2 linked regions of the Oreochromis niloticus genome follow. The protein of the gene in region 2 interacts with the protein of the main gene of each other region in a pairwise test. Links are inferred from orthologs where the notes say so. Each region holds a gene or a part of one and is shown on either strand. Other genes may lie near its edges.

The links. The genes of interacting proteins can lie anywhere in the genome.
Region 1: the proteins of traf3ip1 (region 2) and pcnt interact in a two-hybrid assay, tested with the Homo sapiens proteins (2 studies listed by BioGRID and IntAct). The link is inferred for Oreochromis niloticus from reciprocal best matches to the Homo sapiens genes TRAF3IP1 and PCNT.

Annotation. Positions count from the first base shown.
Region 1 is NC_031983.2:17,163,312-17,170,623, forward strand, and holds the start of pcnt (pericentrin), read left to right. Parts: upstream 1-4,294; 5' UTR 4,295-4,454; coding exon 4,455-4,502; intron 4,503-7,312. UniProt on the Homo sapiens protein: Integral component of the filamentous matrix of the centrosome involved in the initial establishment of organized microtubule arrays in both mitosis and meiosis. Plays a role, together with DISC1, in the microtubule network formation.
Region 2 is NC_031987.2:3,857,427-3,865,381, forward strand, and holds the start of traf3ip1 (TRAF3-interacting protein 1), read left to right. Parts: upstream 1-4,937; 5' UTR 4,938-4,964; coding exon 4,965-5,219; intron 5,220-7,333; coding exon 7,334-7,402; intron 7,403-7,955. Other genes in the region: agr1 (anterior gradient 1), read right to left, coding at 334-383, 1,385-1,468, 1,977-2,040, 2,138-2,214, 2,908-2,960, 3,238-3,301, 3,490-3,589.

The DNA.
Region 1 (7,312 bases), on a different chromosome or scaffold from region 2:
TTACACTGGGAATGATGCACTTTAATAAGTTGCTAATGCAGAGTGTCACTTAACTTGGATTGTTTTGCATCTGTATATTTTCGTACACATATTGTTAAATTATTTTTATTTTTCAAAGGGATGTGCCAAGATGATGATGAAGTACTGTCGATGGAGACTGCAGTGATTAATGATAATTTGAAGGTGTTTAGCGTTTTTGTTTGTTTATATTATAAATCTTGTAAAATACCAATTTGTACAGCTGAAAATTCGTCTATTAAAAACGATGCAATGAGTTTGTGTGTGTAGTGAAAAACAAACTACAAACATGATCCCGTTTATAATCTGTTATGATGCGTAGGTTGACGGTGACTAACCTTTTGCATGCCGTATTTTAACGTCGCTCTAGGCTACATGAAGTTACAAAAGGCTGTCTGCAGCGCTAGCTTAAGTTTAGCTTGCTAGCGTAGTTCGCTGCTAACATAACGGCCGTTTCGCCTTGACATTACGGAAGCTGAAAGAAAAGTTTCTGAGACTTGTGAAATAAATTGGCGGCGTTCAGTCTGGTTGTCATTCTTATCGTGTCCTGTGCGCTTTGTCGTCAGAGCCCGGATAGCTCAGTCGGTAGAGCATCAGACTTTTAATCTGAGGGTCCAGGGTTCAAGTCCCTGTTCGGGCGTCAATCTTTTTCCCTTCGAACGAAGAATGACGAACAGTTTAATTTCTGCTCTTCGACAAAAATGAACACATGAACGATATTCAATGCTGCAGCACACATACCCATTTTAAAGCTGTATGTTTTAAACCTTCAGTCATATAGTTCTTACAAGCTGCTTTGAGCAGTTTTTTCTAAGTTGCCTCAGTTTTTTCTCCGTTTATTAGTTTTGTTTAAGATAGTTTTCCTAAGTGAAGCAAATCTATTCTCTCAAAGAAGTCTACTTAAGATCAGTCATTTAGATCCAATGGTGAACAGAGGAAATAAGACAAGGAGACTATGTGGAATGAGGAAGTATGCAAAGATAAGATAAGATAAGATGACCTTTATTAGTCCCACAGGTGGGAAATTTGTTGTGTTACAGCAAAAGTGCAAAGTTATGTAGCAGAAATTAGAAAACACTGGAATGCAATAAAATACAATAAAATAAAATAAAATACTATATACAATAGAATAAAATAGAATAGAATAATATATACAATAGAATAAAATAGAAATACAAATACTATATACAACTGAGTAGGAAGAACAAAGAAAAAATGGAATGGTCAGGGAGAAGGGAAAGTAGCCGGATGTACAGGGAGGCTAGGTATAAAACAAAGAGAGAGGTGGCAAAGGAAAAAAAAAGGTGTGTTGGAAGTTTTATATGAGCATGGAGACTAAGAAAGGAGAAAATAACTTGTATTAATTGGCTGGAAGGGATGTGCAGCAGGTTAGGGTGATTAATTATAAAGATAAAATTGGTATGAATGAGTGAAGAGAATGTGTTGAAAACTTGGAAGAAGTACTTTTTCATTGATGAGCCTTACCACAAATTTACGTGTATGAGTTGTTAAAGCTAGGTTAAGAAGAAAGATGACGAACAGGCAAGCAACACTCAGGCTTTGGAAGGAGCACTGCAGATGTGACGTTTGTTTGAGAGTAATGATGGAGAAAGTGCAGAGAAGGTCAGAAGGGACTGCACTAGGTCTTTGTGGATCTAAAGAATACAAGATATGATAGGGTGCCAAGAGAGGAACTATGGCACTGCATGAGGAAGTCAAGAGTGGCAGAGAAGTACGTGAAGATGGCGCAGGACATGAACTGAGGACCTGCTGTGATGGAGATGGTGGCACTGACAAAAAGACAGGACAAGCTGGTGGGAGAGTTGAAGATGTTAAGATTTTAAGCGGGAGTAACCACAATGGACAAGATCAGAAATGAGTATATCAGAGGGACAGCTCAGGTTGAGCAGCTTGAAGACAAAGTTAGAGAGAGAGGCAAGGCTGAGATGAGAAAAGAGGAAGACCACAGAGAGGATTGATGGGTCTATCAAAGGAAGATGAAGGTTGGTGTGTCTACATGTGGAGCAGGGAAAAACGTCACCCCTGGTGGCTGATGAGCATCTATCAGGTGGCTGATTGGAGGCAGTTGTGGTGATCTAGGGGCAAGACTGCAGTGATGCTGATGTTGATGCACAGCAACACTCTTTGTTTTGAGATCAGGTCTTACAAACATGATATCCATGGTAACTTGCCTGGAAGTAATGATTTATGACTTTGATGAGACAAAAAATAGTAATTTGGTAAACAGTGTAGCCATTTTTTCACTTTGTCTCTATGTGTCGAGGTGTTTGTGTCTGTTTACATGCTTGAGAAGTGTATTGTGAAAAGCCCAGTGACTGAGCCCACCAGGTGGTGACAGGGACATGGGAGGTATGGCTTGGAGCATGATGTCATGCATCATGGTCTGATCAATCTGGGCTTTTTGTGTCAACATCAGCTCCACCATGTCAAACAGTACCAAACATATACTGTAGCTATACATGACATAAGCACGGCTGTTATGCACCCTCTGTGGTGACTGTTTTGCAGGGCAGGGCTGAAGGAGAAGAATCCAAGGAATCTGCAGTTGTCGTGGCACAGGGTGCTGCGATAGTTGCACAAAGTGAAAAAGTATCGTGTGGTTTGTCCTTTTTCTCATATATAACCAATAATTGTACAAATTAAGAAATCTCGCAAAGGATATTGATGCAAAAAACAAATACTGTAAGAAGCACATGGATAAATAATTTATTTTAAAAATATATACTGTTTCCATGTTTTAAAACTCAAATAACCATGTATAATACTAGATTAAATCAAACTGCACATTTTCATTTTATTTTGGTGTATATGGGATATGGGATTTGGGCTAATGCAGGGAGGTCAAAAGATCATTTTACTTGGGGATTTTACCAGAACATTTTAAATCTAATCCGTGCAATCTTGTACGCAGTGTAGGTCAGGTTGGGTCAGGTAGCAGGAGGAGGAGAAGAATATTAAATACACTTAACAGACCAAATAGAAACAGAGGGGCACTGGGGTGTTATGAGATCTGTATCTCATAGTCTGCTGGAGTACATGAGGAGGCTGAGTTGGGGCAGGTAGTGGTAGAGAGGGCAGGAAGGACAGACCAGTGGCTGGATGATGGAGATCGGTGGGTACTGTGGGTGGATGGTGAGGAGCACTGATGAAATGCGACTCGTGCCATGTTTCTGATCATTAAAAGCTATGGGTTCTCTGTCAGACTTGGATGTTCGGATATGGAATAAAAATAAAAGGTTGAAATACAAGAGGCAAGTCCTACTTTCATCAGAATGCATGGAGAAATACTTCCATCCAAATCCAAATTCAAGTTGTTCCAATAACTTTTTTTATGAAGTTTTAACCACACAGGCTTACAGCTTGATTTTGTGACTTTTATGTAGAGTTTATATTTTAAGCCTATTTTGTTTGACTTGTACAGTGCTCTCGTCAGCTGAGGTTGTTCTGAATGTACTATAGAAATAAAGTTTGACTTGACTTAGCTAAACTTTACTTCATGTCTTGGCATTTGGAGTAACTCGGACTTTTTTCAGACAAACTAAAGCCACAGAGTAGCTGCCATGGGACACACCTGTTTATTACTACTGGACTTAACTATGACTTGCATTACCTGCTTGGTCTGGTTCCTCTGCTGCCAAAAAAAACAAAGGGTGGGACAGTGAAGAAAACCTTCAAACATTAAATGTGTCCTATTCTTTTGATTTGTCACATACAAAAGCCTAAAGCTGGGTTCTGAATTATTACTGGGCTCTGTTGGATGGATTTAGTGCTTTAGTGCTGGCTGCTGCTGATGCTCACCTCATTTGGGTATAGTCAAAACCTTTCTAACGTGGCACAATCATTGATTCCTAATAAACGGAAACGCACTGTTTGAGTACATTAGGCACTAATCTTTAATTAATATAAACTGTAGATCGTTGCTTTGTGTTTTAAATAAATATAATGTGAACGGTATTAATATTTTTAACCTGCGTACTTCACTGTGAACGCCCCCTAAATGACAAACTCCTCATCCAGCTGTGACAGGAGTATGATTTGTATGAGCTAATTGTGGTTGGCTACAAGAGACGTCAATCCAGTCTAGGCGGCTTGAAGCAGAAATCTGATTGGTTAGTTGAGTGCTAGTTTTGACTGATATATAAAGTAGGCGGTGCTTTTAACTTATTTTTAAACAACACGAATTTCATTGGCCGAAGGTGAGGAAAGTAACTAATTGATTGGGCAGTTAGGCAAGGGAAACTCGATAAGGGCGGAGCTACGTTGACTTGGCGGCCATACTGAATATTGTCTGTTGACAGTTGCATGTAAAGATTTGTTTAAGGGTTAACTTATACTTTGAAGGAAGGTTTAGCGTTATTTTAAGTTAAATTAGGACGTATGTCCTAAATCTTTAACGCGTTTATTTCGATCAAGTCATGGATGAAGATGAACGTCGGAGGAAGGTAGAAGCTGGGAGAGCTAAGGTTTGTTGCTAACATGTAACGCATGCTAATATTGAATGCTAGCACTTAGCAAACTCTTTTGTCATAGCTCTGCGTTTATCCATTGCTAACTACACCCACCACCAAAATGACTGCACATTTGTTGTGGCTTGAATTACCTTTGGGTGTTAAATTGCAGGCTCTCACCATGTATTTCCCGCGGTTGGGCGTAGCATATGAGAAGCGAAGAGTAACATCATTTATGAAGCAGGTTAATCAGCTGGTAAATAAAGGCAGTTTTCACATAAGTTACTTGGTAGTTCAGCAGTAAACACATACGTGATTGTTCCATTGACCATAGCAAATAACTTTCATTTTTATTTAGACATATGTGTTAAGTTTGCCTTTAACTCGTGTGCAGTGAAGATGCATTCGGTGGGAGATTTTTGGGACATGCTTGATTTATTTTGCTATTGAGAATGCAGGTTGCACATTATTCACAGGCCATTACAGCTCTAAACAACGTGGATCAACATCATATGTTTACTCACTGAAAGGGTTTACTTGTGCAGTAGTTTTAACAGAGCCTCAATTCCAAAGTAAACTATTCACCAAGTCAGTCATCTGTGTTTCAAAATTGTGGCAAATCTTTGTGAGCCTATCCCGCACTAAGCTCTCTAAACAAGTACTATTTACTTGTATCTAAGTGACATAGTGCTCAGAAATCAGGAAGGAGGCAATTTTTTTTTCATTCTTTTTGTTTACTTGTCATACATGTCAGATCAAACTCATTTTAATGTTAGCCAAAGACCCCCGCCACCACCCAGTGAATACAAAGTACAAAAATGCAGTTTTTAAATGATTTCATTTAATAACTGGTTGCTCCAACCTTGGCAGAAAGAACTGCAATCTGTGATAACTGGAAATGAGTGCTTCACCTCACTATGGAGAAATATTGTGCCACTTTTCGTTGTGGAAGTGTGTGAATTCAGATGTTTTGCAGCATGAACAGCCTGTTTAATCCCATGCCAAAGCATCTTAATGGGGCATAAGCCTGGACTTTGACTAGGTCCCTCTAAAACCTTTTTTTGTTTTGTTTGAGCCATTCAGAAGTGAACTTGCTGGTGTGTTTCAGGTCATTGTGCTGGTGAGAACTAGTGAGTCAGACCTTCAGACCGCAAACTGATGGTCTGACATTCTTCTCCAGGATTTTCTGAGAGAGCAGTATGCATGCTTCATTTAGTTATAGCAAGCCCCAAAGTAGCAATTTTTTTTTCCAGCCCTCATCAGTTTTGAAAATGGCTACTCTGGTGTTTACAAGTAGAAATAGCAAGCAGCTGATTTCACCTTAATGGGAAGCCATATTATTAATGGGCTAGTAGCCAAAAATGGCTTGTCCCACATTGACAACAAGCCATGTGGTCTAGAAACAATGTATAAAACTAAGTCACCTTTTTAGGATAGCCATTTACACTGGATGTGGTATATGATGTAATCCATCTATAATTTGTGATGGAACTCATTTTGGGGAAAATAATAATAATAATAATAATAATAATAATAATAATAACAAAAAATTACTCAACTACAACATTTATATTCCTTATAGAAATCTTCCACCATGCCTCGGAGTCAGAATGTAAGTATAGAAAGTGGTGGATGAAGGAGCAAATCAATGACTTTTGGGCTTGTGGCTGTTTCTTCTTTGATTTGTCTTTTCTTTTTGTTTTGTTTTGTTTCTGTTGAGTGATCAGTCACAGCTTTCTTATTTTTCTGCGCCGTGGGGTAATCGCTGTCACCTTTTAATGTATAATGCTCTTCAAACAATACAGCATCTGAAAGGAAATCTGCCTGCAGTCATGATCTGAATGCCTAAAATAGCCATGCACCTTGCGTATGCTGTCATGTTAGTTACAGGCCATCAGGTGGTGCAGTGCACCCATGAGATTGGGTGAGGTGGAGGATGTTGCGCGTGTGTCTCACATGAATGGTGTTGCTATGGTAATGCAGTGCTGTCTTTTTCCTTTACTATGTTTGTGGCATCGGTAAGCTCTGATTTCTCTCTGGCATTAAAAGCGTTGCACAAATTTGACACCATCACCAACGTGGACAGCAAATTGACCCATTGTTGGAGACAGCAGTGCGCCCTGACCCTGGCTTCATGATGACATTGTTGAGAACACCGTAGCAGCTTTCAGCAGTCCAATTACATCTAATTTGACTAGAGTGAGCTTCAGCCAGCTTGTTAGTCAGTCTCAGTAGGGCGGAAGTGGCCTTGGGCTAAACACAGCTCATCCTGCTGTCTTTGAGATGTGATGTGGGCTTTTTTTTTTTTGTTCTTTTTTTTTTTTTTTTTTTTTTTCTTTTTCTGTTTTTTTTTTTTTGTTGTTGTTTTTTGTGGCAAGCGGAGGCAGTGAATAGGGTGATGGATGGAGAATGGGTGCGGTTTTAAGCAAGTAAGGAAAGAAAGCTAACAATTTAAGGTAGGAAAACATTTAAGTGTGGTTAACTTGATAAAAGGCTGCTTTCAAGAGTCGGACACTGAGGTTGTACAGTGATGGATGCATTTCAGGCTGCTTATAAAGCAGAACCTACAATGTGGCAGTGTAGTCAAGGAACATGTGATCAGAACAAGGTTTTATGCACATGCACACATGATATTGTTATGCATCACGCTTGTGAGTCATCACATAAAGCAACAAGTAGGTCTCCCAGGGCCATGTAATCTCAAATTGAATTGAGCATGCACACTCCAGTGCTGCTTGCCACACATAGAGTTCTGTCTCCTCCTCTCTATGTGAATGCATGTCCCAGTCTCCACCCTCTTTCTTTAGTCTAGACACATGCCATCC
Region 2 (7,955 bases):
AACACTATGTTTTCTAGTGATTCTCACTGAGTTCTTTTGCTCTGATGTAATATTCACTTTCAAATTAAAAGTCACAACAACAACACAGCTCAACACTGCCTAATCATCTTCTTATGGAACAATACCATCATAAACAGTTCTAAATAAGCATTATCACTGTGTTTTTAATGAGTAGTTTAATTATATATTAAGTGTTGCATTAAAGTGAGAAAAACTGAAGATGGCTTTCTTTTCCTTTATTTTGGTTTTAATGAGCACCAAAAACATTTAAATAATTCAGTTCTGGCCACTGAGCAGTCATGTGTGGAAGATGCTGAGACGTCAGGCACCACGTTAGAGTTCGCTGTGCAGCAGGACTTTGGCTTTCTTCATGTTGTCGGCCACTGTGGACAAAGAAGGGACAAATAAGAGCAAGGCCTGCAGCGCTCTTACATGAGTGAAGTAGTTCAGAAATGAAACCTAAACCTAAGCTGCAGGTGCTACTTTTCCATTACTACACATTTAATGGCTTCAACTTCTTGTTTTAAATATTTTTTTTTCTTATGGGGTTTGTTTAAGAGATGGGAGATTTACTTTGTGCTTTTTAAATATATCTTGTTTGAAGTTTTTTAAGGTTATTGGCAGGGCACGGTGGCATCGTTGCCACTGTTGCCTCACACTCACTCCATCGCCTGGCTGGGGCCTTTCTGTGTGCAGCTTACATGTTCTCACTAGGTACAGTCCAAAGGGTTAGGTTAACTGGTGATTCTAAATTACCCATAGGTATGAATGTGAGTGTGAAAGGTTGTCTGTGTCTCTGTGTTAGCCCTGCAACCTGTCCAGGATGTAGCCAGATGGGATACACTCTAGCCAACTCTGATGGATGACTCTTATTGTGTTTAGATTTTAAATATATTAAAGACAAATGTCTCTGGGACCAACAACCACAAGGTTTGGACCTAGAATAACTCCCTGAATGATTTACAGTGACACAACAGTAATCAGCAAACACATAATGAATGCTGGTGCTTCAAGTGTGTTAATTGTGCTTTTAGTTTCCAAAGCCATGATTTAATGATTATATATCAGGAAGAAACAGTGTCACATACCTCACTTGCCTTCTCTTTTCCTCCTAAAAAATTAACTCTTCGTCTTTGCACTGCATTTGCAAAACTCCCACCTGTTTGGCTACTAGTGCTACAAGTCTGCTAAAGTTTCTCACTAACATCCACACGGAGCTCAAAATTCTTTCTGTCAGAACAATCTCATAAAAAAACTTAGTCATTTCTGTCAAAATATTGAGGAAGGGATACAGGGATTCAAGCTGTGGGGGATTAGTGTGTCTGCAGTCTGCTGACAGGTGAGCTGTGCAAACTGTCATTAGAGAGAGTGAACAGTCACTCACGGTCCTGGATGTCACTCGCTGTGTAGGTGTAGAGGTGGTTGCTGTACTTTCCTGTAATGTCTGTGCGCACAGTCATGGTTGGATCTGTAGAAAAACCACACACATGAACAGCTCAGAAAAGTAATCAGTATTATGTGACAGCTGATGTGCATTTTGTAAACTGAATGTGGTTCTGTAAAATTCATTATCTAAAACAATGAGTGAGAAAGCAAAAAGAACCTTGGGACTATCCAAACCATTAGATCTGGCAGGGTTATGCATGCTTTTGTTACATCTAGACTGGACATCTGTAATGCACTGTAGACTGCAGTTAGTCAGTCATCTCGTGCTCATTTACAATTACTTTGAAATGCTGCAGCCAGATAACTGAAGGGACAAGAAGGAGAAGTACTCCAGTGTTAGTGTTAGTGGCCTTTCACTGGCTCACCGTGCATTACAGAGACTCCAGCATGAAGGGGTGCTGTTTGTATTTAAAGCCTGGTTTAAATGGTTTTATTCTGTGCTATGCATGTATCTCTGTTCAACCTCAGACAAGGAAAGTAAACAATCTGTTCTTCTATATTGAAATTATATTAATAATGTAAGAATTTACCAACAAAGAGGATTCTGGGAACATAGTAACCGTCAGGTGCCAGATTCTTGTCCGAAGTCTCTTCCTGTGTATAACAATATAGTACACATGATGCACATGATTTTAATAATAAAATAATTATATATATATATATTCTGCATATATAACATATCTTTAATTACCACCACGTTGAGCATGATGAAATCCTCTTTTGCCATTTTCTGGATAGTCTTATCCGCAACAAATGCCTTCTTCAGGTCTGTTGAAATACTTTGGTTTAGTATTATATTTAGACTGGCTCTCAAATAATTATGAATGAATTATGAATTATATGATCTGGAAATATTAATAAATGTATTCTGCCTAGAAAATGTCAGAAGGAGGTAAAGCCTGTTGAGTTATTACAGACTGCATTTATAAACTTGCCTAACAGGTCAGAAACAAGTCTGGCAGGTTGGACCTTTAGAATATCTGTGTTGAGCATTCACGTAAGGGAATACACAACACACTATAAATATATGAATCCTGTCTTGTTAAAATGAGGACACATTACTAATAAAAAAATATATGCAACTTGCTGCAATCAAACGAAATGCTTCAGTATTCTGAGACTTTCAGAGGGAGGATGCAGAACGGGCTGCTTTTGGTCCACCCTAGCAAAACTCAAAATTTAGAGCCAGACTTCACTCTGTAGGTGGTCGTCATTGTTTATGGGTTAAGAAATGCCAGTGGAGACTTCCACTGAGCTTATTTCACAAAACCAGCTGAGTGATTTATGAACATAACTCTCACATACTTCACTGCCTGCTTTGTGGGTATTACAGAATGCACCCATTGTGTTCCCCGTGAAAACAAACAAGCCCAAGTCTGGGTGAGAAAGACAGCGCAGGAGGTGCAAGCCTATATTTTTTAATATATATGTATACTTAATAAACCAAAGTAGCAGCAGTACCTTTACTGTGTGGGCAGTTGTCTTTATGATGAATGACCATGAGAGGTTTCTGACTGTGAGAGCAAAACCACAGAGAAAGAACTCAGTACATTCCAAAACACAATAAACACAGTGAAGGGTGTGAAGGCAGTCTTACACAACCAAATGCCTTAGAAAGCAAAGTCCCCGTGCTGGATTTAGAGACAGATGAAGATTAAAGCAATAATGTGTTTCCCTTATGGAAAAGTAATGGAGCATCATTCCAACGCAGAAAGACACAACAAAGGAACAGACTTATCCAAACAAAATAAACTGACATCCAGCACTTTTACCCAAGGTTTAGAGTCCTACCTTTTGGCCATTTTTGCTAGGCCATCTTCATAATTTTGGGCCCAGTTAATACCACCTCCCCATCCTGCAGGCAGGAAATAAAAATACAGTTTTAAGTCAACAAAACTGCTGCATGTTGCCAGTATATTAACTATGTTCCCAAACAAGCAAAGTTCTGACTTTATTATGTCTGACAGCTATAAATGATCTTATGCAATGGTTCTTTAGACATTAACTGGAGCTGTGCATATTGAAAAAAGGAGATTTGCCCACCTCTTGACAAGGACTGACTCTTCACTTTCTTTTTAGCTTTCTGTTCCCCAGCACTGGCACAGAGGCCAATGAGCAAAGCAAGCAAGACCCAGCGAAGCATCGTTCCTTGTCCTTTCAGAGAGCTGCTGTGAAAGTTGGCAAATGAGTTCCATTGAAATTCAGTGACATTTATACTTAAATACAAAACACAAATCAGTTTTAGCTTGACTCACATTTGACAGATATATAAAGCTGCACTGACTCACCAAACACGCCTAACTAGGATTCACAAGGCGGTATGCAGAGTAACAATGAAGCCAAAGGAGCAAGCAAGCAAGAATTCATTAATGGTTCCACCTGAGACCATGTAAGTAAAATGGTTTATAAGCGGTAATTCTACACATAGTTACCACACTTGTATTTGTAAGGGGGGGGAAAAAATCAAGTCTGAATTTATGTGAAAAAGTGTAATTTGAAATAATTATAATTAAACCCCCACCAGTTCCTTAATTTACAAACCTTTTTCAAACTTTTAGTCAGGCATCTAACCATTTGAAAGAAATCATAATACTTTTAAAAGTCAATGAAGATATTCAGGTAGCAGGTAAATGTCTTACCTCGTCAATATGAAGCAACAAGCATCTGCTCTGACCCTCCTATGTGCGCTCTCTTTTGTCAGATTTTTTTTTCCTATCGAACTTGTCAAACAGGTATATCATAATAGGCTTAAAAAAACAGAAGAAGCACGCACATGCGCACAATTGTGCTGTGTAGTGGGATTACACCAGCAGATAGGGAAGCTAGCATTAATTTGGCTATTATCCCTTCTGTAAGTTTAAAAACATATATCCTTTATGGGCTGTTAGATGAAACTCGAGTCTATGGATTGAGAATAAATAAATAAATTTAACTAAATCAAAATAACTTTTTATTTTAATTTAAAATTTCGTTCTCTTAAAAAGTGTAAGCCTGAAAGTACAGTTGTTTCTAAAACTGCTTTCTTTCTATGACTCTTCCGCGTGTTGGTATAGAGGAAACTCCCACTCCATGCCAGAATAAAGACAGGGATATATGGCCCTTTTTTAGGCCATTTTTATTTTTATCCTGGCCATTGTCTCCACAACTTATAGGACAGGCAGCGGAGTATTTTTTCTAAAACGAATTGATTTCTGTTGTTGCAAATACTGATACCGGAGCTCGGTCCAGTGTAAAGGAATAATTCTTTCCACCTCTGCAATCCCCAGTACTGTCATCTTTATAATCTCGCTTCCAAAACTTACAGTTTATGAATGCCCTGTTTTATTTTGTATGTATATTGAATGCTTTTATCTAGTTGTTGCTCTATATAACCACGCTGTTCTGTTTTGGCGGCTATAATAAAGAATTTTCTATCTACTTAGCCTAGCCATTTATCTAGCCGATTGTTAGTTGTTGCTATGGACACAAAGAGAGCGCTTAGCAACAGTAAGCCTTTGGCGCAGGCGCAGTCCTTTTTAATGATGCACTGTGGGATTGCAGGACATAGACATAGCAACCAGGCGACAGAGTCACTAAGTTTTTCACTCTTAGTTAGTTTCGTGTATTTGTTCTTGATTAAAAGTACTTATCTTGGCTTTTTATTTACTACCATGAATGCGGCAGTGGTGAAAAAGACCCAGGACACGCTGGGCAAAGTGATAAAGAAGCCGCCGCTCACCGAGAAACTGCTAAGCAAGCCTCCTTTTCGATACCTGCACGATATCTTCAGTGAGGTGAGACTCAGCTGCTGACATTACACTCGAGAAAGCAAAGTGGATTTTATTTAAGGGGCACGACACTCTTCTTCTCAGAAGCCAAGCCTAATGCCACTTCTAAGTTAAAAACACAGACACAGGAGCTAGTTAGCCAGCTAATGCATAAAGGTTAGCAGGAAGCTAACCAAGTAGGTTCGCGAATATTACGGAACATTTTGTAAGCTCCAATTTCTGCAACTTCAGATTGTCAGTAACACTAATCCTGATAGTCAAGGGGTGCATTAGCAATTCACTTAAATGACAGGTTGCGCTTTATTTAATGTGGTGGGTTAGCAAGTGAGCTAGTTGTTTCAGCAGCGTCGTCTTGTTGCTAGGCACGACCTGAGCCCACACACGAATCAACAAACCGTTTTCCCCGCTGTTGGCTTAAAGGAGGGCACCTGCCAGCTAGGATGAACCTGTGCTAGGTTCTTGAATCCGTCACGTTGAGAACACAGATGCTGATCAGCTTATGATTACAGCTAAAAACAAGCACAGGCTGTGCTATAATTGGTGCCTCTTCTTTGATTTCCCTTCATTTTTTTTAAAGCTACTCGCAAGCCATGCATATATGATGAAGTTATAGCCGATGTCTTTCTGGTGTTTGCCAGGAAGATCTGTCTTCCGTGGCCTAGAGTAAAACACAGTAAAATGTCTGAGTTCTTGGCAGCTCAGACTCTTCAGTAACCCACAGCAGCTTTTACTCTCAGATGAAGAGAAGTGCAGATACAGATCAGGGTCAGCTACGTACTCTAGTATTTTATGTGCATTAGAAAAGCAATTGTACTACGTGAAAGTTTTCTGGTTCAGAATGGGTCTAGGTTGTGATTACACCTGGCACTTCTGACACAGAAAATAGAAACGCTTTTATTGTCCTGACTCCCTATGCGCTCTTTTCTGTTCTCTTTCCTCTGCCCCTCCCTGAGCATGCTTCTGTTGGAGGATTCCTGTTAAAAGGGAGTTACTCCATCCTACTATCACAAAGTGCTTGATCATAGGTGGTCACTTGATTGTTGGAGTTCTTTAACACTGTAGGTTATAACCTTGCCATGAGGGAATTTGGAGTACACAAATAAACTTGAATTGAATTGAATACTGTTTCTCTAAGCCATTTTATAAAGGCCAGTACTTAAGTACATGCATGAGAGAAGTAACAGGCAGTATAATGGGATGAAAGGAAACAATATAAGTACAGTAAAGGTGATTTTCCTCCTCAGAACAGTTTTGCCCCTCCCTTAGTTAGATAAATCTCATCATTGGCATTATGAAATCTAAGATTGCTGGAATTTTAAAAGAAAAGACTAATGTCTAATGTGTAAACAAAAGAGGCTTTAGTAAACCTCAAAGGAAAAAAACTTTCTCAGTTTTTAATTTTTTTAGGTTAACTGCCATCTGTTTAATTAAGAGTCAGAAATAACAGGACGATATATGAATGTATTCTAATGTTATCTGTAGCCACCCTTCCAAAGATCCATTCTGAGTAAGTACAACTGCTGCTATAGTATCATGGTTCTTTAAACACACACATACACACACACAGGAAACACTGCATCATCTCCACGGTCTGTTGTCAGTGTCCTGTTGTAAATACACTGCTGATCTTTATGATCAAACTTGTTTTGCTCAGTTGCGGCTTCTTTCATTTTCTTTTTCAGCATTTTATATGCACAGTTGACTCCTTTTACATAAGGTGTCAAGCAGAGTAAAATCTGTTACGCTCTTCTCAACAGAGGTGCCAACTCATTCTCACCTGTTCAGCAGTCTTATATTTCACTCCAGATTCATGCATATTTGATAAAGGGAAGAGTGTCGGCATGTTCGACTCCCCTCCTCTGACTAGGAATATGTCTGAATATGACTGTAGGACATAAACTGTTAAATCTATAAATGTTTTTTTTGTTGTTGTGTTACTTTAATGTTTAGGTTAATTCTCAGCAAATATTGTTTTTTTTAGCTCACAGGTGAAAAGCACTATTCCTGCACATACATGCAAACAGACTTTGGAGTGGACTTCTCGATGTACAGAAGCTAAAAATGGCATATAGTTGTAGTTTCATGTCTGTTTAAAACAACCTTTTTCCCACCATTTTCAGGTCATCAGGACTACTGGTTTTATGAAAGGCCTGTATGAAGAAACCGAAATGAAGTCAGACAGTGTAAAGGTACGTCTGTTTGACAGCTATGCTTATTAATATGACTAATTACAGTCTTTCCTCGATTTTAATCAACTTTTTAATACAATGGTGTTATGTCCTAAGAAGCAGCCTTGCTCATTTATGAGGTCACCCAGGCATTACACAGGACCGTGTGTGTGTGGCGGGGGGGGGGGGGGGGGGGGGGGGGGTAACCCTACCCTACCCGTTGTCTGTATAACACGCTCTTGAGAAGGAACGTCTGCCAGTATGTGACAGAGAGAGCATGTCAAGGTGTCAGAACTCAAGGCTGGTGTTGGCAAGTTGACCCCAGATTAAAACTGGATGGGAGGATGCTACAGCTGGAGGAATCTACTCAGTTAATCTAATATAAATGGTGTTTTTAAAAACTTGATTCCTTGTGACCCAATCGTCACAGTAGCAATCTGCCACTGTAAAGCATCCGAGTTAAACTTAAACACTGTTAAAATTTATTGAATCGTGTTGATAGACTCACATAAAAGTATCCAACCTTACATTTCCAAACCCTTCATGGTTATAAATAAATAAGCTTGCTGGATAT